Linked DNA regions of Coturnix japonica. The protein of the gene in region 1 interacts with the protein of each later gene in a pairwise test. Links are inferred from orthologs where the notes say so. Each region holds a gene or a part of one and is shown in the gene's direction. Other genes may lie near its edges.

Region 1 (5,564 bases):
AACAATGTGAGGATACTCACATATCTGAAGGTCCCCAGCTGTATAAATATTTACAGGATTGATAATAGGAATGTTCTGCTAATAGAATGGAGGAAAGATGCGCCAGTTATCGAGAGAATAAAAGCATCTATTTGATTGTAGAGGAAATGGTAAAAACTCCTTTGAAAATCCAATTAAAGAAGCACGGGGAAAGGAACGACTGCTGAAGACTTAACTAGGGCATGGTTAGAAGGTTATCCAACAACTCGGCAGGCTTTCAGCTGTGAATATACCAACGAAACTGCTGTCCTAAGAAATGCATGCTTCCATATGCCTTTATTTATGGAAGCCTTTTAAATACATCCCATAACTGTGCAGTTTCTTATGGGCCGCGTAAGAAATCAGTAACACATTTCCTTTCTCCTCCCCCTGCTGAGGTGCAAGTGGCTGAATGTTTTCAACTATGCTTTAGCAGAACAGATACTTGGACAAACTTATCCATCTAAAAACACCCCCACTGACAGGCATTGCAGAAGCTAAACTAGAAACCATCCTGTAGAATAAAGCTTCGTGGACATGTTTACAGCCTTGGTTTTACAGATGTGGTGTGCTCAGCTTTCTTACTAGTTATTGACCCTTACTCCTCAGCCTGAGCCATGAAAAGTCACTTAATGAAGATGCTGGTACTCTGCCTTCATAGCAAATGCCTTCAGTGATTTAACACCTAGATGTGAGCTATAGTTATATATTGGTGGGTATGGCCCGCGGTGCTGGAGTTCAAGGAGCATTTGGATGCTGCTCTCAGACGTGTGGAGCCAGGAGTGGGACGCGGTGATCCCTGGGGCTGCCTTCCAACTCAGCATGTTCTGTGGAGCCCCTGCCAACAATTGAATGGGATTACAGTTGAGTACACGTAAGTAACTGTAACATGGGTGCATTACATTCTCTTAGAAGAAGAAAACAGATCCTTTTAACCCAGACTGCCCAGGGAGGTTGTGGATGCCCCGTCCTTGGAGGTGTTCAAGGCCAGGATGGATGGGGCCCTGGGCAACCTGATCTAGTAAATGTGTATGTTTGGTGGCCCTGCCAGGCAGGGGGTGATCCTTGAGGTCCCTTCCAAACCAGGTCGTTCTGTGATTAAAGGAATAAAGTATTTGTTTCCCTTCTGGGGTTAATTTCCCACTAGAAAGCCATACAGGTGTTTTACACGAGTACACCCTGCTGGAATCACGAGGGCTTTCAGTGCTGGTGCCCCCGTTTCAGAAGCCAAAGGCTGGGGCTGCCAGCACCTTTGGTGACTCTCATGGGGCACCTGTCAGCCGGGAATGTACGGCATGGGGGCACTCGGGGCAGTTTGGAGCTCTCAAGCAGAAGCCCCGAATTGATGCTGAAGCGAATCTCCTTGGCCCTGTGTGAAACGCGAGGCCACCGGGGATCTCTGCTAGTCTGCAAGTTCCCACCCCGCAGCTCGCTGTCCGCGTCCCCTCGGGCCGCAGTCTCGGGCCTGAGGCGGAGCTCGGCGACTCTATGGCTGCCGTGCCGAGGGGGAGGCGGCGGAGCGGCACCTCCATCCCGGCTGGCCGCGCTCCAGGCGATGCCGTTCAGCATTGGGGCAGCGAGTCCCGACCGGCCGCCACTCGGCCCGGCTCCCCCGGGGCTGGGATCCGCACCCCGCCCCTCCCCGCCGCCCCCAGGGGAGCACGGCGTGCGGCGCTGCCGGGCGGGGCTTAGCGCGGGGCTTAGCGCTGGGCCCGCCGGGAGCCGTGACGCGGCGCCGAGGCCCCGCCCCGTGGCAGGGTATATAAGGGGCGGCGCTCACGCCGTCGTTCTTTTCCGCTCCGGGTTTGCCGACGCCGTGCGGGTGAGGAGCGTGCGGCGGGGCGGGCCGGGCCCGGGGGTGGGGGGAGCGGGGATGCTGGGGGTGCGTGGATGTACCGTGAGCGGGGGGTTGAGGCGCCGCCGTGCAGCGGTGCGTGGGGATGGCGGAGCGGGGGGATGGCGAGATAAGGGGCGGATGGGGGAAGCGGGGCGAGCGGCGGCGTAACGCCGACGTGTCCCATCCGAGGGCTCACGCGAGGCAGCGCCGCGATGAGCACATGGGGCCGCACCGCCGCTTCGGCTTCTTGCGGAGCCGCCTGGCGCTGCTGTGCGGCGTGCGGTGCTCGGCCGTACGCGGGTGGCGGCCGGGGATGGCGGGGCCGCGCCGTCGGTGTGGGCGATGGGGGAAGGGAAGGCCGGGGCACGAGAAAAAAAATGGCCGCCCGCTCTTCCTGCCGCCGTCAGCTCACAAAATGGAGGACGGCGGCCCGGGCGGGGTGAGTCACACACAAAGGAGAGGGGCGGCCCCGCCCTCCGCGCCGCCCCGCGCCGCCGCCCCAGCACGGCCCGGCCCGGCCGCCATGCGGGGAGGGGGCGACGGAGGAGGGGGGCGAGCCGGAGGGGACACGGGCCGCCAACACCGCCCGCCTCTCCCCGCTGCTCGACTCCCCCCTCCCATCCCCCGGTGGGGCGGGGCCGAGCCTACACGGGCCCTCTGCCCCCTGCGGGCGGCGCTGCTGCGGGACGGGGGCGGCCGCTGTAACCGGGATTCCTTCTGGAACTTTCAGGTGTCGTTTCTCTTTGGCCGGAAGAAAGAAGCTAAAGACCATCCGAAATGGGAAAGGAGAAGACTCACATTAACATCGTCGTCATCGGCCACGTCGATTCCGGCAAGTCCACCACCACCGGGCACCTCATCTACAAATGTGGTGGCATCGACAAGAGGACCATCGAGAAGTTCGAGAAGGAGGCGGCCGAGGTGTGTGAGGCAGCCGTGTGGTGGGAGACTGGGGGGAATAAGGGGCAAAAGGAAGGAAACCAGAACGTTTTACTACCACAAGGAGGCGGTTGGGTCGAGATTGTCCTGGTAATTGAACTAGAGTACTCAATCTGTTATGTTAAGGTGAAGTCATCGAAGCATAGAATAAAGAGCATGAAGCTAAATCTGAACGCTTAGAATCAAAATGGGAGCTCCCATCTTCATTCTCGGCCTGGATTGAGAATTACAGAATCGTTAATGTTGGAGAAGACCTTGAAACTCCAACTATCAGCCCATCCCCACCATGGCCACTAACCATGTCCCTCAGTGCCACGTCAGCAGGTTTCTTGGACACTTCAAGGGTAGTGACTCCACCATCTCTGTGCACAGCCTGTTTCAATGCATTGCTGCTCTTATGGAGTAGGAATTACTCCTAATATCCAATCTGGACCTCCCCTGGCACAGCTTTAGACTGTTGTCTCATGTCATCTTGTAGTTTAGTTGAAAATGTAATGATCAGCCTTGTCTCAAGGTGGGAGAGTCTAAGGTACCATTATGTGAACCTGTGGAAGTATTCCAGTTTTCCTTTGTTTTGTTTTAGTGATAAAATAGCACCTCGTAAGCACATGATAAAAGGAAATGCAGTGAATGCTGGGCTGTGTGGCTGTTAAAATACCAACTGGAGCAGGGATGGCATTAGTAACTAAGCTAAAATTTGTAGTGGACACTTGATAGTAGGACTAAGCCTTAAGAGATCCATCATAAAGATGTGTTAGCACAATTAACAAGTTGTCAAGAGGGCTGAAGTGTCAGCAGGTTAAATGACAGAGCAGTTGGCATATCTTGGTAGTAGTGCCAAGTGAACCTAGGCCAGAGTTTTATGAGCAACAGCAGCTTTCAGTGTAAGTCACTCCCTATTAATAACTTTGCTCGTTAGTGTGTATTTCATGGTCTTGGTGAGGTAAATGAAAATATATATCTTGAGGGGTTTTTTTTTCCTGTTTCAAACCCATAGATGGGCAAAGGTTCCTTCAAATACGCCTGGGTCTTGGACAAGCTCAAGGCTGAGCGTGAGCGTGGTATCACTATTGATATTTCCCTGTGGAAATTTGAAACAAGCAAGTACTACGTCACCATCATCGACGCTCCTGGACACAGAGACTTCATTAAGAACATGATCACTGGAACTTCTCAGGTAAGGAAATAAAGGATGTGGGGAGTTGAGGGAAGCTGCTCCTTGGCTGGTTTACAGCAGGGAAATTGCCCATGTGCTTTAGTGTGCGTGTAGGCTTTCTAACAAGGGCTTTTTTCTACCTTTTCAAAGGCTGATTGTGCTGTCCTGATTGTTGCTGCTGGTGTTGGTGAGTTCGAGGCCGGTATTTCCAAGAACGGGCAGACCCGCGAGCACGCTCTTCTGGCCTACACCCTGGGTGTGAAACAGCTGATCGTTGGTGTTAACAAGATGGATTCCACTGAGCCCGCTTACAGCCAGAAGAGATACGAAGAGATCGTCAAGGAAGTCAGCACTTACATCAAGAAAATTGGCTACAACCCAGACACTGTAGCTTTTGTGCCAATCTCTGGTTGGAACGGGGACAACATGCTGGAGCCCAGCTCTAACGTAGGTTTCCCTGTTTTCCTTTTTAATATTAGGAAATGGAACTAGCAGGATCATTAAGATAAGTTAAACAATAGTTAAATACGTGGGTTTGGGTTTTTTCAGTAGTAGTATTTTGAAATGTTGGGGTCAGTGTGAAATCCTAGTGCTTTATGAATTGTTATTCTGCAGTAATGAAGATGATGCAAGGAGTTAGGCCAGTTGTTTCATAGCTTCGTTCTATTAACATGGGCAGATGACTGACGGTTGGGGGCTGTTTTGTTACAGATGCCCTGGTTCAAGGGATGGAAGGTTACCCGCAAAGACGGCAATGCCAGTGGAACCACCCTCCTGGAAGCCTTGGACTGCATCCTGCCTCCAACTCGTCCAACTGACAAACCTCTGCGTCTGCCTCTTCAAGATGTCTACAAAATTGGTGGTATGTGTTCACCACAGTGCTTGTGTATGGGACAGAATTGCTAGTGTTTGCTTGGGAACTTGAGTGTGAAACTCCTGCCTGAAATGTTTTTCTCTGTAAGCATATACTGGACTTAACTGGCTTTCTGTGTTCACTTCTGTAGGCATTGGTACTGTACCAGTTGGCCGTGTGGAAACTGGTGTCCTGAAGCCAGGCATGGTTGTCACATTTGCCCCCGTTAATGTTACAACTGAAGTAAAATCTGTTGAGATGCACCATGAGGCCCTTAGCGAAGCTCTGCCTGGTGATAACGTTGGTTTCAACGTTAAGAACGTGTCTGTGAAAGATGTCCGCCGTGGTAACGTTGCTGGTGACAGCAAGAATGATCCTCCAATGGAAGCTGCTGGCTTCACTGCACAGGTGACTTTTGCAACTGTTTGAAGGCATTTAGATTGTGAAATACAGAACCTTGCTCTTTGTTACCGGGGGCTGAGCTGTAAGGTGATACAGACTTGTGCTCCGAGATGGGATTTGCCTTAAGCAAATACATGAGAGCTGTGGCTTTCCAAGTCACACCAGTCTATGGGGAGCTTTTCAGAATTGCCCTGGTGTAACTTAATCGCCTGCTCTTCTAGGTTATTATCCTGAACCACCCTGGCCAAATCAGTGCTGGTTATGCCCCTGTGCTGGATTGCCACACTGCTCACATTGCCTGCAAGTTTGCTGAGCTCAAAGAGAAGATCGATCGTCGTTCTGGCAAGAAGCTGGAGGAT
Region 2 (5,628 bases), on another chromosome or scaffold:
AGGTGTAGCTGAGGATCAGATTGAGAATTAGCAGTTCTGGAGCTAAAAGGAGATAGATATAAAGGGCCGTCGTGGATGGTACATGATGTGTAAATGACTCAATTGGTGCTTCATAGGATAGTGGGATATCCTGAGTGTGTCCCCCCTCTCTATGGGTCTGATTGAATCTGGAGCGTCTGTTGGGAGCACATGGAAACAAGAGCAGGGATTGCTAGAGCTTAAAAACAGGAGAGGATGAACCGTCAGCATCTGCTTTTATTTACACATTGTGGGAGGGTGTGAGGGACAGAGCTCTGCATGGAGAAAGCTTCATGAATCCATAGAAATACACAGCTGTGGCTGGTGCTTGTCCTGTGCTCCCATGGCCCAGCCTGGGTTCCCATTGCCCAGTGCCATGTGTGCCCAGGAGGTGGCAATGCTCCTTTACACAAGGGCTCGAAGTAAGTCTCTATTGAAGGAGCATTACTGATATTGACCCACTGAATGGAATCTCTCCAGCCCTGGACTTCAAGGCACCATCCCTGTAACATCCAGGCTGCCAAACAGCAGAACAGCTTTGCTTCCTGCTGTCTCTGACAGCAGAATTTCTCTTGCACAGCATCAATCCCATGTTAAATTATCTATTTAATTGCCTAAAAATAGCCCGGCTATTTCCCCCTCCAAAGGCCAGCGTCCCCTTTGAAGTGGCAGCTGTTCTCCTGCTTTGCTGAAGTCTCCACCTGGTCTTGAATTAATTTCTCCCAGTCCTCAGAAATTCCTCCGTCCTAAAGCCTCACTGCAGGGAATGGGCCATCAGCTGGGATTCTGGGGTCCCTGTGTGTGTATGTATGGGGGGGATTCAACCTTAATAGGGCACAGCTGTATCTTATTCCTGTGTTCCCCCCCACAAAGGAGGGTGAAAATAACCCAAAATGGAGCTCTGGGACAGGCAGGATATCCAGTATGGGGGGGATGCAATGGGATTGGAGTGACTGGTGACGATTCCAACTCAATCAAGAAGGGGAAAAAAATTGAAAGAGAAATAAAACTAAGAAAAATCACCACTGCATTTCACTTCCCCCATCAATAACATTTTAATTTTCCAGCCTGACATGATAAGATCCATTGCCAGGGCTGAGCTGGATGCGTTTCAGCCATCAGTCTCAGGCTCTGATGGCTCTGCCATCCATCACCTCCTGCACACTGAAAGCAGGGCACGAATGGCTGTGATACAACACTACAGCCCCACGTCCTCTGTGGGAGTGGGTGTGGGGCCCTTACAGCTCTTTGGGGACAAATACAGGGCATAAAGAAAGGTATGGAGCTGTGTTGGGATGGACAGGATGGGTGTTAGGAAAAGGCTGAGCACCAGAGGGAGGTGGGCATGGCACAGCTCCACAGGGCAGGGGCACCCAAAACCATAGGGGTTGGGTGGAGGGAGTTGGACTTAGTGGTACCTGTAGGTCCTCATTGACCAGTGGTTGACTAATGGTTAACCAATGGTTGACCAGCTGTTGACTAGTGGTTGGCTTCTGGTTGACCAGTGCTTGCCCAGCAGTTGACTTGTGGTTGGCTAATGGTTGACCAGCAGTTGACTAGTGGCTGACTACTAGTTGACCAATGGTTGACCAGCAGTTGACCAATGGTTGACCAGTGGTTGACCAATGGTTGACCAACAGTTGACCAGTGGTTGACCAGTGGTTGACCAATGGTTGACCAGCGGTTGACCGGTGGTTGACTAGTGGCTGACCAATGATTGATTAATGGTTGACCAGTGGTTGACCAGCAGTTGACCAGTGGTTGACAATGGTTGACCAGCAGTTGACCAACAGTTGACTAGTGGTTAACAGTGGTTGACCAATGGTTGACCAGTGGTTGACCAGCAGTTGACCAATGGTTGACCAATGATTGACCAATGGTTGACCAATGGTTGACCAGCAGTTGACCGGTGGTTGGCTAGTGGTTGACCAATGGTTGACCAGCAGTTGACCAGTGGTTGACTACTAGTTGACCAATGGTTGACCAATGGTTGACCAGTGGTTGCCCAATGGGAACATACCGGTGCTGCTCAGGGCGGTTCCCGTACATTGGCTTCGCTTTTTGGCCCTGCGGAGCCACCGTAGCGTGCATCACATGACCGACGCAGCTGCCAGGAGCCGCCGAGAAGGGCGGAAGTGAAGGCGACAGGGGGGCGGCATGGAGGGGAGCCTGGAGCAGCACCTGGAGGACACGTACGGACCGGGATGGGGGCGGCGGGACCGAGGGGCTGGGGGGGGGAAGGAAGGCAAGGCCGCGGGCTGGGGGCTGGGTGTAGGCCGGGCTGACCGCCGCTTCTCCCGCAGCATGAAGAACCCGGCCGTGGTGGGAGTCCTGTGCACCGACTCGCAAGGCCTCAACCTGGGGTGTGAGTATGGGAGCGACCAGGGCAGGGCCTGGGTTAGGGGTGGGCATGGGGACACACATAGAGCCCCTATAGACCCCCATAGAGCCCCTATGGACCCCCTATGGACCCCTATGGACCCCCCCCATAGGACCCCTATGGACCCCTATAGAACCCCTGTCCCCCATAGAACCCCTGTGGACCCCCCCGCATAGAACCCCTATGGACCCCCCTATAGGACCCCTGTGGACCCCGCATAGAACCCCTGTCCCCCATAGAACCCTTATGGACCCCCCATAGAACCCCTATGGACCCCCTGTGGACCCTCATAGAACCCCTATGGACCCCTATAGAATCCCTGTCCCGCATAGAACCCCTGTGGACCCCCCCGCGTAGAACCCCTATGGACCCCCCTAGTAAACCCCCTATGACCCCCCCAGTATAAGACCCCTATGGACCCCGTATAGAACTTCCTGTCCACCATATAACCACTGTGCGACACCCCCCATAGAAACCCCTGTGGACCCCCTCATTAGAACCCCCCCCCAAACCACAGAACCCCTGTGGACCCCCCTGGATAGAACCCCTTGGTGACCCCCCATTAGAACCCCTATGACCCCCATAGATAAAAAAAAAAAACCCCCCCCCCCCCCCCTTAGAAACCCTGTGCCCCCCTGGCATAGAACCCCTTTGGGACCCCACCCAGTAGAAACCCCTATGGACCCCCTCCCCATATAACCCTATGGACCCCCCCCATATAACCCTATGGACCCCCCCATAGAACCCTATTGACCCCCCCATAGAACCCCTATGGACCCCCCATAGAACCCCTGTGGACACCCCATAGAACCCCCCCCATAGAACCCCTGTGGACCCCACCCCCAGTAGAACCCCTGTGACCCCCCCACATAGAACCCCAGACCCATAGAATCCCTGTGGACCCCCCATTACGAACCCCTATTACCCCCCCATAGAACCCCGTATTGGAACCCCCATAGAACCCCCCATAGAAACTCACGCATCGCAATGCGTGTCTGGATGCATACCCCCAAAGAACCCCCCCATAGAACCCCTTGGACCCCCCCCATAGAACCCCTGTGGACCCCCCTGCATAGAACCCCTGTGGACCCCCCTGCATAGAACCCCTGTGGACCCCCCATAGAACCCCTATGGACCCCCTTTGGGACCCCCCCCCCATAGAACCCTTATGACCCTCCATAGAAACCCCTGTGGACCCCCTGTAGAGCCCCTGTGGACCCCGCATAGAACCCCTTATGGACCCCCCCATAGAACCCCAATGGACTCCCATAGAAGCACCAGCACAGGTTGCCCCTAGCTAGATGTGGGTGCTCTGGCCCTGGAGACACTGGAAGTCAGGGATGGGGGCTGTGAGCATCTGCTGGAGCTATGGGTGTCCCTGTTCATTGCAGGGGGGTTGGGCTGATGGCCTTTATATGTCCCTACCAACTCATGTGATTCTTTGATCTGGGGAGGTACTACATCAGCTTACAGCAATAAGGGAAGGAAGTGGGGATGGGGAGCTGCCTCCCATCACGGTGTGCGTGAGTTCAACCCACATCTCCCCTCTTGCAGGCCGAGGAACGCTCTCAGATGAACATGCTGGAGTCATCTCTGTGCTGGCCCAGCAGGCAGCCAAGCTCACCTCCGACCCAACCGACACTCCTGTGGTGTGCCTGGAGTCAGACAGTGGGTGAGCATCCAGCCCAAGGCTGCTGCTCTTCCCTTTTTCCCCACCCCAAATCTCCAGAGCAGAGCTCTCCATCTTCTATTTCACTGGCAGAGCTGGAGGAAGCCCCATTGCTGAAGCTGTGTTGGGAGGGGGGTATGAAAAGAAGTCAGATTCATGGGACCTCAGGCTTTGGGAACTGCAGAAGCAGCTGGAAGCCTTTCAGGGGCTGGTGGTTGCTGCAGCACTGTATTTCTTTTGCTTTTTGGATCCCCATGGATTATTTAGCCCATGCTGTAGTGTCGTTTTGGTCAGCAGGACTCCATCATCCCCCTTTGTGGGAACAGCTGACAGGTCTGGCACTGAGCTGCCCATCTGGTTTCCCAGCCAAGTCAGCTCCTGCTCTCCCAGCTGGTTTCTCACCTTCCTCTGACAGCACTTTCCTTGCTCTAGGAACATCATGATCCAGAAGCATGACAGCATCACCGTAGCAGTGCACAAGTTGGCATCCTGACCGTGGCATCCTGATGCTCCATTCCCTGCTCCAGACCAGCTCCTCCTCATTCTCCTTGGCTGTTCCAATGCAGAACACGCTTCTAGTACCAAATCTGGGCTGAAGGCTCTCCCTCTCTACTTACCAGCTCCTATGCATCTATCAGGGTTTCCAGCTCACGTTTTAGCAGTCGTGCTGTTAAAGACGTGAGTCACTCACCAAGCTTGTGTAATGATAGATACTACAAGGTGTGTGTGTGTGTGCGTGGCCTTATTTGTTGGAGAAATCAATAAATGACCTGCAAAAACTGTTGCTTCTCTTTGATCCTACTGTGAAAGCCCATTGCTTTCCCTAAAGCCAATTGGAGGGACTTCTCCCAGTCTGATTCTTCATTGGCATTGCTGCAGAGAAAAGGGACCAAGACTTGGAGGTCCCTCCAGTAGAAGAGATACAAATAGTTCTCTATTCTCCTAGGAAATGTTTAGCCTCCTCTGGTTAAGCTTTCAGTGAGAGCAGCTTATTATTATGCTTCGGATTGAAGTTCAAACCTCAACTTGTTGGCCCTCGTGTGAACTGTGAACGGATGCTGATGACATCCCCGCGAATCCTCTCTTCCCTTTAGAGGTTTGAGCATTTGGAACTGGGCAGAACAATCCCATAGAAAGGCCCTGAAAAGCTGCTTTGCTCGAATGCTTCCGCAGCACAAGGGAGCAGACAGGAGCTGGCCTCATACGTGGAGCAGAAAGGAGGCTTCACTGCAGAGCATAGACCAACAGATAGGGCAGGGTTGGAGCTAAAACTGCATTCACTGTGTAAAACAGACATTCCTGACCTCACCATCACTGTTATGTATGTAGCAGGCTCTAAGGATGGGCTGCTCTGCACAGCGCTCTCATGGTGAGGTTGGTGCTAATGGAGGTGAGCAGTGCTACATCATGCCCATCATTTACCTCCCCTTTATTTTCTTTAATGCTCAGTTTCCAAGCTCATCTCCTCAAAACAGAGTGCAGACGCCCATTTTAAATAGCCCCAATAAATAGCCATGGGCTCCTATAAGAGCAAAAGTTAAAGGGCTGTGAGCACTCAGCT
Region 3 (4,967 bases), on another chromosome or scaffold:
TGCAGTTCTGTCTGCTTTTTCTTGCTGTACTCTTTGCCACTGCTGTAATTGAACACTGAATACCTCTTTCCCCACTACTCTGCACCTGACTTACTTAGGAGCTGTTTTAAGGGCTTTCTTCATGCAGAAAATACTTCTTTTTTTTTTTTTTTCCTATTTTTCTTCTCCTCTAGGCTTTCACAAAAAACACTCATGATATGAGAATAGGCAAGGCATCCATGTGAGGGCCCAGCTGTTTGTTGCAGCCCTAATATTTTCGATGTCTAGCAGAGGTCAGGGATTTTCTGTGGATGTGACCACCACCCGGGACTGAGTGGTGCTCAGCCATGTGCTGACAAATAACACAAGGCTGCAGGGTGGCCTTCCGTGCTACTGCTACTGTAGCAGCTGGCCAATTTAATGGCAAAATGTGCTTCATGGTGCCTGCGTGGCACTGATGTGTGGTGGGCCCACCCTGATACTGAATGACCTGAAGCACTCAGCAGCAGAGCTACCCAGGACGTGGTGCTGTCAGTTCTCCACCAGACAAAAGAACTGTCTGCAGCACAGAGTCTGCTGGAGTCTGTGGCTGCAGGGCACTGGGCTTGTGGGCAGAAATGGGAATTTGTGTGTTAAAGGTCTGTGGCTGCACACTGGGGCTGCTCTGAAATTAATGCCTCCCATTTTGTCAGCCCATGACATCAGAGGTGGAAGGTGGTAGTAGAGGTTGGACCTTCCCACCAACACTGCATTGCATTTTGTTGCTATGTGACAGCAGAGGGGCAGTCTGACAGAACAGTGTCTGACATGGAAGTGTGTATGGAGCAAAGCTGTGTCACTGAATTCCTCCATGCTGAAAAAATGGCACCTATCGACATTCATAGATGTTTGCTTATAGAGACCAAACAGTGGATGTGATCACAGTAAGGCAGTAGGTGGTGTGTTTCAGCAGTGGTGACAGTGATAGGTGGGTCATCTATCATAAAATCACAGAATGCTTCGAGCTGGAAGGGACCACAAAAGCCATCCAGTTCCAATCCCATGGGCAGTTTGTCAACCACCAGATCAGACTGCCCAAGGCCCCACCCATCTGGCCTTGAATGTCTCCAAGGATGGGGCATCTAGACCTTCTCTGAGCAAGGTCAGCTGGCGTAGATGTTTACGAACATGAGATGAAGGCTCTTGTTCACTGCTGGTGAAAATGAAAAGCTAAAGATGGTGACTATTGAAAATATGTGTTTTGAAGCTGAGAATTTGCTCCATCAAACAGTGCTATTGCACTCTTTGTTGTAATTTCTACGGAAATAAAGAGGAGTGACCTATGTACCTGGAAGAACAGATTAAGGTGATGCACACTGACCCCGTAGCAGCAGCTCAAGTCATGCCATTTAAGGGAGTGCAGCAGGTAGCAATGCAGACTTTCAAGCTGAGAATGCCTTTGAGCACTCATAGAATCACAATGGCTGCAAAAGACCTGAGATCACCAAGCCCCACCGCCAACCCACCCCCACCACGAGCACTAACCCAAGTCCCTCAACGCTTCATTCACACGATTAATGAACACCGCCAGAGATGGTGACTCCCCCACCTCCCGAGCAGCCTCAGCACAACTGTTAAGAAGGAACCCTCCTACCCCAGCATCCCCAAGGCAGCAGCACGGTGCCACGCAGCAGCTGTGGGCCCCCTCCCGGCACACGCCTTCCCCGTGCCCGCGGATCACGCCACCACGCCGCGGCCGTGGCCGCCCTCCCTGCGCCACCACGTGTCCCCCCGGCACGAGCCGCCCCCACCTCCCGCCCGGCGTGCGGCCATTAGCATGACAAAGCGCTCCCCCGGCTCCCCGTCCGCCAATGGGAACGCACCGGCCGCCGCCAGCTGCCAGCGCCGGAGCTCCGCGGGCTTAAAAGGAGCAGGAGCCGCTGGAGCTGCGGCAGGACGTGGGTATTGGGTTGTTGGGAGGAGCTGGGGGTTATCGGTGACAGCGCTGCTTGGCGACACGCTGCTATGACTCTGGAAGAGGCGCAAGGACAGGAGCCGGTGCCCGCGGGCAAGGACTGGTAGGCGGTTGGCTGGGAGGTGGGGTGGCCGTTGTCCGGGCGCTGGTGACGTGCTGACCGCTCTCTCCGGCTTCCAGGATGCAGGGCGCCGGCAAGGCCCTCCACGAGCTGCTGGTGTCGGCGCAGCGCCGCGGCTGCCTCACTGCCGGCGTCTACGAGTCGGCCAAGCTTATGAACGTGTGAGTGGGGTGAGGGGGGGCGGGCAGCGCGAGTGGGGCGAGGGGCAAGGAAGCCCTACTAGGGCCTAACGGTGCTCGCCACCCGCAGGGACCCAGATAACGTGGCGTTCTGCGTGCTGGCGGCCGATGAGGAGGACGAGGGGGACATCGCCCTACAGATCCACTTCACCCTCATCCAGGCCTTCTGTTGCGAGAATGACATCGACATCGTGCGTGTGAACGACCTACCCAAGCTGGCTGCTGCCGTGGGATCCAACGAAGAGTCTGGTGAGCCCAGAGACCTGCACTGCATCCTCATTACGGTGCGTGGCTGGGACTGGGAGGGATGGAGCTCTGTGGGCTGGCCGGGCTTAGCCCTTGGGGTGCAGAACTGCTGAGATACAGGGGGCGGTGCTTCTGTAAAGGGGGTTTCACTGCCACCCACATTGGTGACAGCTCAGCTTCCTGCTCTTTGTCTCTGAAAATGCTTTGCTTTTTAAGCTAGTGCTTCTGTAAAATAATACTGTGACTTTGTGCACTCATGGTGTGCGATGCTTTTCTACCAGAACTCAAATGAAGATGGCTGGAAGGATCCAGCTTTAGAGAAGCTGAACTGCTTCTGTGAAGAAAGCCGGAACGTCAATGAGTGGGTGCCAACTATTGTCTTACCTGAGTGACTATGGCCTGGCATGCTGGGGAGGCTGAAACCTCTGTTGCATTCTCAACGTGGTGTTGGTTCACCGAAGTGTGCAACAAGCTGCTGATTCCATGGATTAGCCTGGTCAAGGGACTGGATTACAGTCACTCAGACTGGCATGCTGTGGGCTCTTACAGAGGAGAAAGGAAAAGAATAGCTCACCTCATCAGTGGGTGTCAGTAGACTGCAGCTGTGTGGAAGATAATGTACTATGGAACTGAAACGAGTATTGCAAGTTTCCTGGTCAAGTGGATCTGTTTCAGAAAGCAGAGAAAGTTAGGGGAAGTGGTCCAAAACTTCACAGGATTGAACAGTACTGTGACTATAAGCTGTTGGTGCTGTCTACAAAACATGAAGAGAAGCAAGCTTCAGTACTTCTTGGACTTTTAGAGACTAATTATCAAGGCAAATACAGACACTCTTAAAGCAGACAGACTTCAACAGGCCTCTGGGCCAGTGTACTGGTTTAATAATGCAATAGTTTTTTTGTTTTTTTGTTGTTTTTTTTTTTTTTAAACGTTTGCTGCTATGGAAGCTTTCATAATAAATTTTTGACACTTAATTTCTGTGAGTATCTGGCTTACTGGGTGGGGAAGCATGTCACTGCAATACCACTGCTGCTTTGCTCATGTACTGTAGTCAAAGGTATACTCAACAGTAATAGGGATGTTGCTCACATGCTTTCTCTCTGGGCCCAGCTGGATCACAAGTGTGCTTCCCAAGTTGATAATCCAGCTTTTCACCCTCTGCAACAGCTTGCGAGACTAAAGAGCTGCATACTTAATGAGCTCATTTATTGTAGTATGTTGTCTTTGCGGTCTGCTAGGGGATCACAGTCCATGCTAGAAACATGGATACTGGGAACACGAATCTCCAGTAAATAGCATCATTACATGTTAAATGAGTTACTCATTTGGAGCTATAGAGGTTTCTACATGGCAGAAGCAGCTCAAATGTGATGGTGACCTGAAGGTCTCCTTAGATGTCAAATACATGTAGTGTTTACTTTGATTAGACTTAGTTAGTTAGACCAAAAACTAATAGTGAATAAACATGACATTTGCTATGAACTGCTCTCTGAATCCTGTATGCTCCAGCAATGGAAGCTGTCACTCCAGCACATGTAACAGCTAAAGTGTAGCAGAAAAAAGTGTGCCTGATTTGCTGTCTGACCATACATACTAACAGTTGTACTGAGTAGGAAGCTTAGCCTCCTGTTTTTTTGGAGGAAACATGCTGCACAACAAGCAATGAAACTGATGAAGCAGCACTTGTGAGATGCTGCCCTTGATGCTTTAGAGAATGGGGGGGATGACTTTGCCCCCCCCTCAGTTGTCCTCTGCAGTTGTGAACTGCGTCTCCTGAGACATACACAGCTCCCATAAAATTCCTGAAATTCCTCCTGGCTCAGTGCGGAGTTTACCACACATAGTATTAAGCTCAGGCTGAAAATCTTATTAGTATGGTGTTACAATCAAAGCATCTGTAACTGGAAGTTATGTGCTGTTACAGATATATCTAATATCACAGCAGCTGGTATCAGGTAAAAGTGGGCTTCATCTTTAGGTGCTCTGGTGTATAATGCTGAAAGAAGCAATGAAACAGATGCAGCAAGCTTGGGATGAGTCACTAGGTGCCTGCCCCTCCTGTGCAGGGGACAGAAACATCAGGTGCCTGGGAGCACTTTGCCAGCACTTCTTGCCCAGAAGATGATACAGTGGCAGGGACAATGGCACCGAGGGCCTGCAGGTTTGGTGGACTGTAAAGCAACATCCTAGCCTTGCCACAGGGCCTTAACATGGGCTGGCTCACCCAGACAGGTGACATGGGCTGACACCACATGTTTCTGAGGTTAATAATTGTTATTAATAAAGAGGGTTCAGAAGTGGCACTACAGGGTGACAGAGCTTCTGGTACTGCTTTGAGAACCCTGCCTTTTGTCAAGCCTCTGCCACAGCTTCATCACCACTGCAGTCATACACATTTCTCTTGCACAGTCAGTACTTCTGGAGTACAGTTTCTCTTGCATAGTGATATGTAAAGTTTTATTTATAATTTCTTGAGTGATGGGTTTAT
Region 4 (5,777 bases), on another chromosome or scaffold:
CCAAAGAAGTCCTTCCTCCCCTCCTTGGTTTGCTCCATTTCATTCCTGGTTTTGAACAGGCCTTATTCCAAATGGGTTTGGTAGTTAGGAGTAACTAAGGAAAACCTACTTACATCCCATCGCATTGAACAGCTTACACTCAACATGAGGATGTGATGATTGTGAATAGAGGAAACACACTTGCATTATGAGTGGCCCTGCATATCAAGGACTACAGTGACAAAGCAATGGGCCTGTTGGCAGCAATGTCAAAAGATTGTGCAAAACTGGAAATCATGCTCCTTTAAATATGAATGAGTGCAGAAGGGAAGTTTCCTCATAAGTCTGGTATTTCTTCAACATGCTGGAGGCTGTATCAGGAGGTGTTACAGAACCATCAATCTCTACAAATACCTGGAGACCAGCAGATGCACTGAGTGCAAATGAACAAGGATTCCATGAGGTTGCACTACGTTGCATCAGGATGTGCCCTTTAACCAGCACATTAAAGCCAAGCTCAGGCATTCACAATGCAGCCTAAGCCCAAACCAAGCGTTAAATCAGCTGATGACACTGCAGCCTCTTATTGAGAGCTGTTCTTATGGAAAGCAGCCAGAGATTGCTGACATCGCTGCTCCTCAACCTTAACTGTGTCCAGTTAATGACACTTGGAGCATGTGAAGCTCCAAAGGTGTGCATAGGAGAAATAATTTAATAGGTACCAAGCAGCCTTGAGAAGATTAACAGATAACAGGTCTGAAATCATAGAGAAATCACTATCTGAACCTGATTTGGAACAAACATTGCTACAGATGTGAAGTAAAAAGGCATCTGCTCCTTTAGCAGGAGCCTCATTTTGTGTTGTATGACTGTGCGGAACACAGCAGCTCATTTTCTTGCAGAGGTTCCCAAACTGCACTGCACCCTACAAGCAATAGATGCCCCTGCCATGGATTTTCCATCAAGGTTAAAGCATTTCAGAGCTGGCTGCAAGCTCAGCATTACGCCTTGAGTGTTTCCACTTTGCTGCTGGTAGGAGATGAAAGGATACAAAGCTGTAATTTGGCCCGATAATAAATAAGCGCTAATGTAACTGTTCCCTTTGGAAGGAGTTAATTATCTACCACGCCGTTAGGGGCAGTAACTCGAGCCAACACGCGGTCGCCCCCTTGCCGTCCTTAGTGCCTAAAGGAAGGCAGGCGCCCCTCACAGGGAGCAGCGGCCCGTCCTCCTTTGTGCCCACGGGATCGATGTGAACATGGCCACGCAGCTCTACCCACGTGCAAGTAACGGGACTCCACGCACACTATCGTCGCCTATCGCCACGTTTTAAGGCACGCCCGCAATAGCAGCCCGTCCCGCCGTTACCTTGGGCCCCATGGTGACGGCTACGGCATCTGCCAGCAGATCCACCCCCTGCAGCATCAGGGCCCGCGCGTCCGCCCCGAACTTCACATCCTTGGCGTAGGCCCGAGTCAGGTGCGGGGCGAGCGCTCGGGATACCGGCCTGATCTGGCGGAGTACGGCGGGCAAACGGAGCATGTCTGGGGGGTAAAACCCGATGTTAAAGCCATACAGATTTAAAGCAGCACATGGTCCGCCCGCAGGCCGCGCTCGGAGCCACATGCCCACCCGTCCCCACAGCAGGACGCGCCGCAAGGTCAGAGCCCGCCGCCCCCTGCCGGCCACAATGCAGCCGGCCGCAACACAACGGGGCTGTGAGGAGCCATAGCAGGGCTGCACACATATACACACACACACACACACACACACACCGGACCAGGCGTGCAATGGGAGCAAGGCCGCCCAAGTCAGCACGCGGCGCTCCCTCAGCACCACCACATCGCTGTGAGGAGCGGCCCGCCCCAGCACAGCACGGCTCAGCACAGCTCCGCACGGCACAGCACAGCTCAGCTCGGCTCCCCACTGACCTGCGTTGTGCCGGCGGCGCGTCCCGTAGCGCTGTGTGTGCGTTCTCAGCTCTCCGCTCCGCACGGCGCTCAGGGCGGCGCGCACTCACACACTCACACACTCCCTCACATGGCCCCGCCCCCGCCGGGCACACACTCATGCGGCCGAGCCCCGCAACCTGCATAGCGTCTGGGTCCGCCCATAGAGGAAAAAAGGATCTAGGCGTACGGCGCGCTCTGCGCATGTGCAGGAGGCTCCGAGCATGAATCACCCATGTTCCGGGGCTCGCCAATTCCAGAACCTTCTGGAATGCCCATGCTCGCCCCGGGTCAGAGGGCGGCTGACTTCACTTCCGGGTGGCAGCACCACCCCGGTCCCGGCCCGGCCCCGAACCGAACCGCCACAGCACCGAGACACACAGCGACACACCGGGACACACAGCGACACACCGGGACACACAGCGACACACCGGGACACACACCGGGACACACACCGACACCGGGACGGCGGATAACGGAGCCGCGGCACCGGGCGGCACGGCTGGGGGCGGGGCGGGGCCAGGAGCCAGGGTCGGCGGCTGCGCATGCGCACGGGGTGACCTTCCTCACGTGTGCTTGGAGCGGCGCGGTCACTCGGAGCGGAGCGGGACGGAGCCGCCATGGTGAGTGAGTGTGTGAGTGAGTGTGTGAGTGAGTGTATGTGTGTGTGTGTGCATGTGCCCCCACAGCCGGCACCGCGATTGACCACACGCTCGGCCGCGGCCCCGTGTTCCCGGCCCTGCGCTCCTGCGTGGGGCTGTGCCCGCTGCTGCGCCCCGCCCGTCCGCAGGGCAGTAGGCCGCACTATGGGGGTGTCGGCAGCTTGGTGCTGCTGGAGGGTAATTGATGGTGATTGATGGTGATTGATGCGGCCGGTGGGGCTGTGGGGGGATGGAGGCAGGCAGGGATAGAGCGGGTGAGCCCTTCGTTGCAGTCCTGCCTTAGCGCCCTATGGACGCTCGGTTAGACCGGCCCGGAGCTGGGAGTGGGTTTGCAAGGTCACCGAGTCCTTGGGGGCTGCGTTGGGGGCCGCAGGAGCGGGAGGGAAAACGGAGCTGCTGGTGCTGTGCTCTGTAAGCTGCTCCCATCCAGGGCTTCTCTGCAGGAGCCCTAAGGGCACAGCTGTCCTTGTACCTGCGTCAGTGTATCGTTATTAAGATCCTTATAAAATTAGGAAACGTAAAGTGGCCAGCGCTGGAAAGGACCACGATGATCATCTCGTTGGTGAGAGCAGGCAGAAGGACACAGTGTTACCTGAAGCTTAGGCACAAAGTGGCAGCATTCTGCGTTCTGATTGCAGTTGAACAGAACGTTTGGTTTCAGGGAATCTAAAGAGAAAGAGATCAGCACTGGTATTTTCTTAGAATGAACATCATCCCGGTTCACAGTCATTTCCATGTCTTGCATCATTCCAGTAATAGCAGTTTAGCTGGGGATGCATCTCTCACACGTTGCCTACAGCTTCGTTTCCCCCTAGTTTTAAAGCTCCAGTGCTGATCAGTGTCAGTGGAGGGTGCCCAGCTGCCAGGCTGCTTCTAGCCATTTCAGTGAGCCCAGGGTACCTGCCTTGCATCACACTGTCTCCATGTGGCTTGGCAAGGCTCCATAGCTTTCCTCCTAAACCACAGCAAATTCCTTTTCCTGCCCCTGCTTAGCAGGGTGCTGTGCTTGCCTTCATCTCCTGTGTGGGAGCTGGAGTGCTGCTTCCATTCCAACTAACAGCAGTCTTCATTTGGACTTCAGACTTGATTAATTCTCTTACATCACCTGAAATGCCATGCCTTTAAACTGCCCAAAAAAGACAGGCACCAGCTACAGGCCTAGACTGACAGTTTGTTACTATAAAATACTCTGCTACGGTGAATGAAAACGCAGCTGCCCTCAGTCTTGACTGAGTTCTGTCTTTGTGATCACCGAGCTGTTCTCAGTGAGCCGCTGTTCTCAGTGAGCCGTACTAAGTAACGGTTTAGGATTAGCCACATGTGGCTCCTGCTCCACCTGCTGGAGGCTCATTCCCTCAGCTGGAGCGAGGAGCCTTAAGGGCACAGAGTGCCCAGTGTGAGCAGCTTGGGAGTGAGCTGCTTCTGAAGAGCTTGAAGCAGTCATAGCACAGCTCTGCAATGCAATCACAGGTGGTATAATTCGCTTCTATGGAAAAGAAGTGCTCAACTTTCTTCTTGTTCTCTGACACCCACTTAGTTGTGGGTTTTCTTGCTTTAGATGCGCTTTTGTTCATCTGTTTTTCCTTTAACGTTGTGCCCCTTCACAGGCAGGAAAAGCATTTAGGAAGTTCCTTCCCCTGTTTGATCGCGTTCTGGTTGAACGATGCGCAGCAGAGACTGTAACCAAAGGAGGCATCATGATTCCAGAAAAAGCTCAAGGGAAAGTGCTGCAAGCAACAGTGGTAGCAGTTGGATCTGGAGCCAGAGGGAAGGTAAGAGTCTGATTGAAGCATCAGCTTGAGCAGCTGGAAAGTGGTAGCAGGAAAGGGATGGCTGCAGAGTACGTTGAATCATATAGCACAAAAACTGAGAGGGGTGATTGAAGGTGGAAGTGCAGGTTCAAAGAAGAGGTAGAAGGTTTCAGTTCCCCTGCCTGGCTCTGGCCTTGAATTCCAGTCTTCCTTTGAACATCTGCAAAATGGAAAATGCTTGCTTTTTGAAACCAGCTATTGATAAGCATCCTTAAACAGTGAATGGTTACGTGCTTTTCTTTGTTGTTCTGCACGTGGCGTTCGCTGTCTTGTCCAAAAAATCATTGCCCATAAGAGTTGGGCTTAATGTACAACAAAAAATCAGGACTTGGTAGAAATAAATGCCAGTTGAGCTTGCTTAAGCTTTGACTGTTGAAGATCCTGAAGGAGACCTTTTAATGTCTTTTCACCTTCTTAAAATGCCCGTGGTTAGTGGCTTTGCTACTGGAGGATCTTTCCCCCATCTAAATAGTGGTCAGTTAGTCTCAATGGCAGAAAGCAGGTTAACGTTTAACTTGAGTGTGTTGACTCAGACTTTGCCTGTGAGTCTCTCCAAAGATATCGTGGGGTTTCTTTTTGTCTCTGTGTCTGCTTTTCAAAGCAGGATATTGCAAAGTGGTTCTATTATTTGACTTGTTTGCAGTATGGAGCAATTGTGCCATTACCTTTCCATTGAACTGGAGTAAAATGAAGGGTGTTTATTTTCTTCCTTTCAGGATGGTGAGATTCATCCAGTGAGTGTCAAAGTTGGTGAAAAGGTTTTGCTACCAGAATACGGTGGTACCAAGATCGTGCTAGAAGATAAGGTATGTTCTCCTGTTTTGTGGATGTAAAATGACCTGGATTCTATAATGTCACACAGTTAGCAGTAAATATTGTATGTAATATGTGAGCTGTGGTCAGCTCACTCCCAGTTTAGTACTTTATGATGTGTGGCAGCCTTCAGTACCAGATGTTATCTGCACAACAGCTGATCAAAGGAGTTTTGACGCTATTATTTCTTATACTTGCAGGACTACTACTTGTTTAGAGACGGTGACATCCTTGGAAAATACCTGGACTGAAGCTGGTGCAGTATCCGTCATCCATTCCACTAAGATTCTGAAATGCTTTCTTTCATCGTGTAAATAACGCCCTTTATTTTATAATAAGCAGGCATCGAGTCTCTGAAGTAACTTGTGATCTCACTGTAATGATGGAACAGAAATAAAAAGTATGTACAGTCAGAAATGGGTTGCTCTTGCTTGAGTTCCACTCAGTGACATGCAGATGACCACCATCCAGCCTTAATTATTCCAAAGAACATCATTTTATACCCTTATCTGTGTACTGGAATTGTAAAGGCCTTTACAATAAATTTCTAAAACCTTGCTGCT

The links.
Region 2: the proteins of EEF1A1 (region 1) and LAMTOR5 interact in a two-hybrid assay, tested with the Homo sapiens proteins (2 studies listed by BioGRID and IntAct). The link is inferred for Coturnix japonica from reciprocal best matches to the Homo sapiens genes EEF1A1 and LAMTOR5.
Region 3: the proteins of EEF1A1 (region 1) and GADD45G interact in a two-hybrid assay, tested with the Homo sapiens proteins (2 studies listed by BioGRID and IntAct). The link is inferred for Coturnix japonica from reciprocal best matches to the Homo sapiens genes EEF1A1 and GADD45G.
Region 4: the proteins of EEF1A1 (region 1) and HSPE1 interact in a two-hybrid assay, tested with the Homo sapiens proteins (2 studies listed by BioGRID and IntAct, with this or other methods). The link is inferred for Coturnix japonica from reciprocal best matches to the Homo sapiens genes EEF1A1 and HSPE1.

What each region holds. Positions count from the first base shown.
Region 1 is NC_029518.1:74,352,385-74,357,948, forward strand, and holds the start of EEF1A1 (elongation factor 1-alpha 1), read left to right. Parts: upstream 1-1,711; 5' UTR 1,712-1,840; intron 1,841-2,585; 5' UTR 2,586-2,632; coding exon 2,633-2,776; intron 2,777-3,791; coding exon 3,792-3,971; intron 3,972-4,100; coding exon 4,101-4,397; intron 4,398-4,661; coding exon 4,662-4,812; intron 4,813-4,954; coding exon 4,955-5,211; intron 5,212-5,426; coding exon 5,427-5,564. UniProt on the Homo sapiens protein: Translation elongation factor that catalyzes the GTP-dependent binding of aminoacyl-tRNA (aa-tRNA) to the A-site of ribosomes during the elongation phase of protein synthesis.
Region 2 is NC_029541.1:1,787,818-1,793,445, reverse strand, and holds LAMTOR5 (ragulator complex protein LAMTOR5), read left to right. Parts: upstream 1-2,075; 5' UTR 2,076-2,175; coding exon 2,176-2,210; intron 2,211-2,321; coding exon 2,322-2,383; intron 2,384-3,952; coding exon 3,953-4,070; intron 4,071-4,499; coding exon 4,500-4,560; 3' UTR 4,561-4,847; downstream 4,848-5,628. UniProt on the Homo sapiens protein: As part of the Ragulator complex it is involved in amino acid sensing and activation of mTORC1, a signaling complex promoting cell growth in response to growth factors, energy levels, and amino acids.
Region 3 is NC_029547.1:39,082,132-39,087,098, forward strand, and holds GADD45G (growth arrest and DNA damage-inducible protein GADD45 gamma), read left to right. Parts: upstream 1-1,757; 5' UTR 1,758-1,983; coding exon 1,984-2,036; intron 2,037-2,113; coding exon 2,114-2,215; intron 2,216-2,303; coding exon 2,304-2,517; intron 2,518-2,760; coding exon 2,761-2,871; 3' UTR 2,872-3,453; downstream 3,454-4,967. UniProt on the Homo sapiens protein: Involved in the regulation of growth and apoptosis. Mediates activation of stress-responsive MTK1/MEKK4 MAPKKK.
Region 4 is NC_029522.1:4,372-10,148, reverse strand, and holds HSPE1 (10 kDa heat shock protein, mitochondrial), read left to right. Parts: upstream 1-2,377; 5' UTR 2,378-2,548; coding exon 2,549-2,551; intron 2,552-4,197; coding exon 4,198-4,362; intron 4,363-5,117; coding exon 5,118-5,207; intron 5,208-5,414; coding exon 5,415-5,465; 3' UTR 5,466-5,771; downstream 5,772-5,777. Other genes in the region: HSPD1 (60 kDa heat shock protein, mitochondrial), read right to left, coding at 1,348-1,521. UniProt on the Homo sapiens protein: Co-chaperonin implicated in mitochondrial protein import and macromolecular assembly. Together with Hsp60, facilitates the correct folding of imported proteins.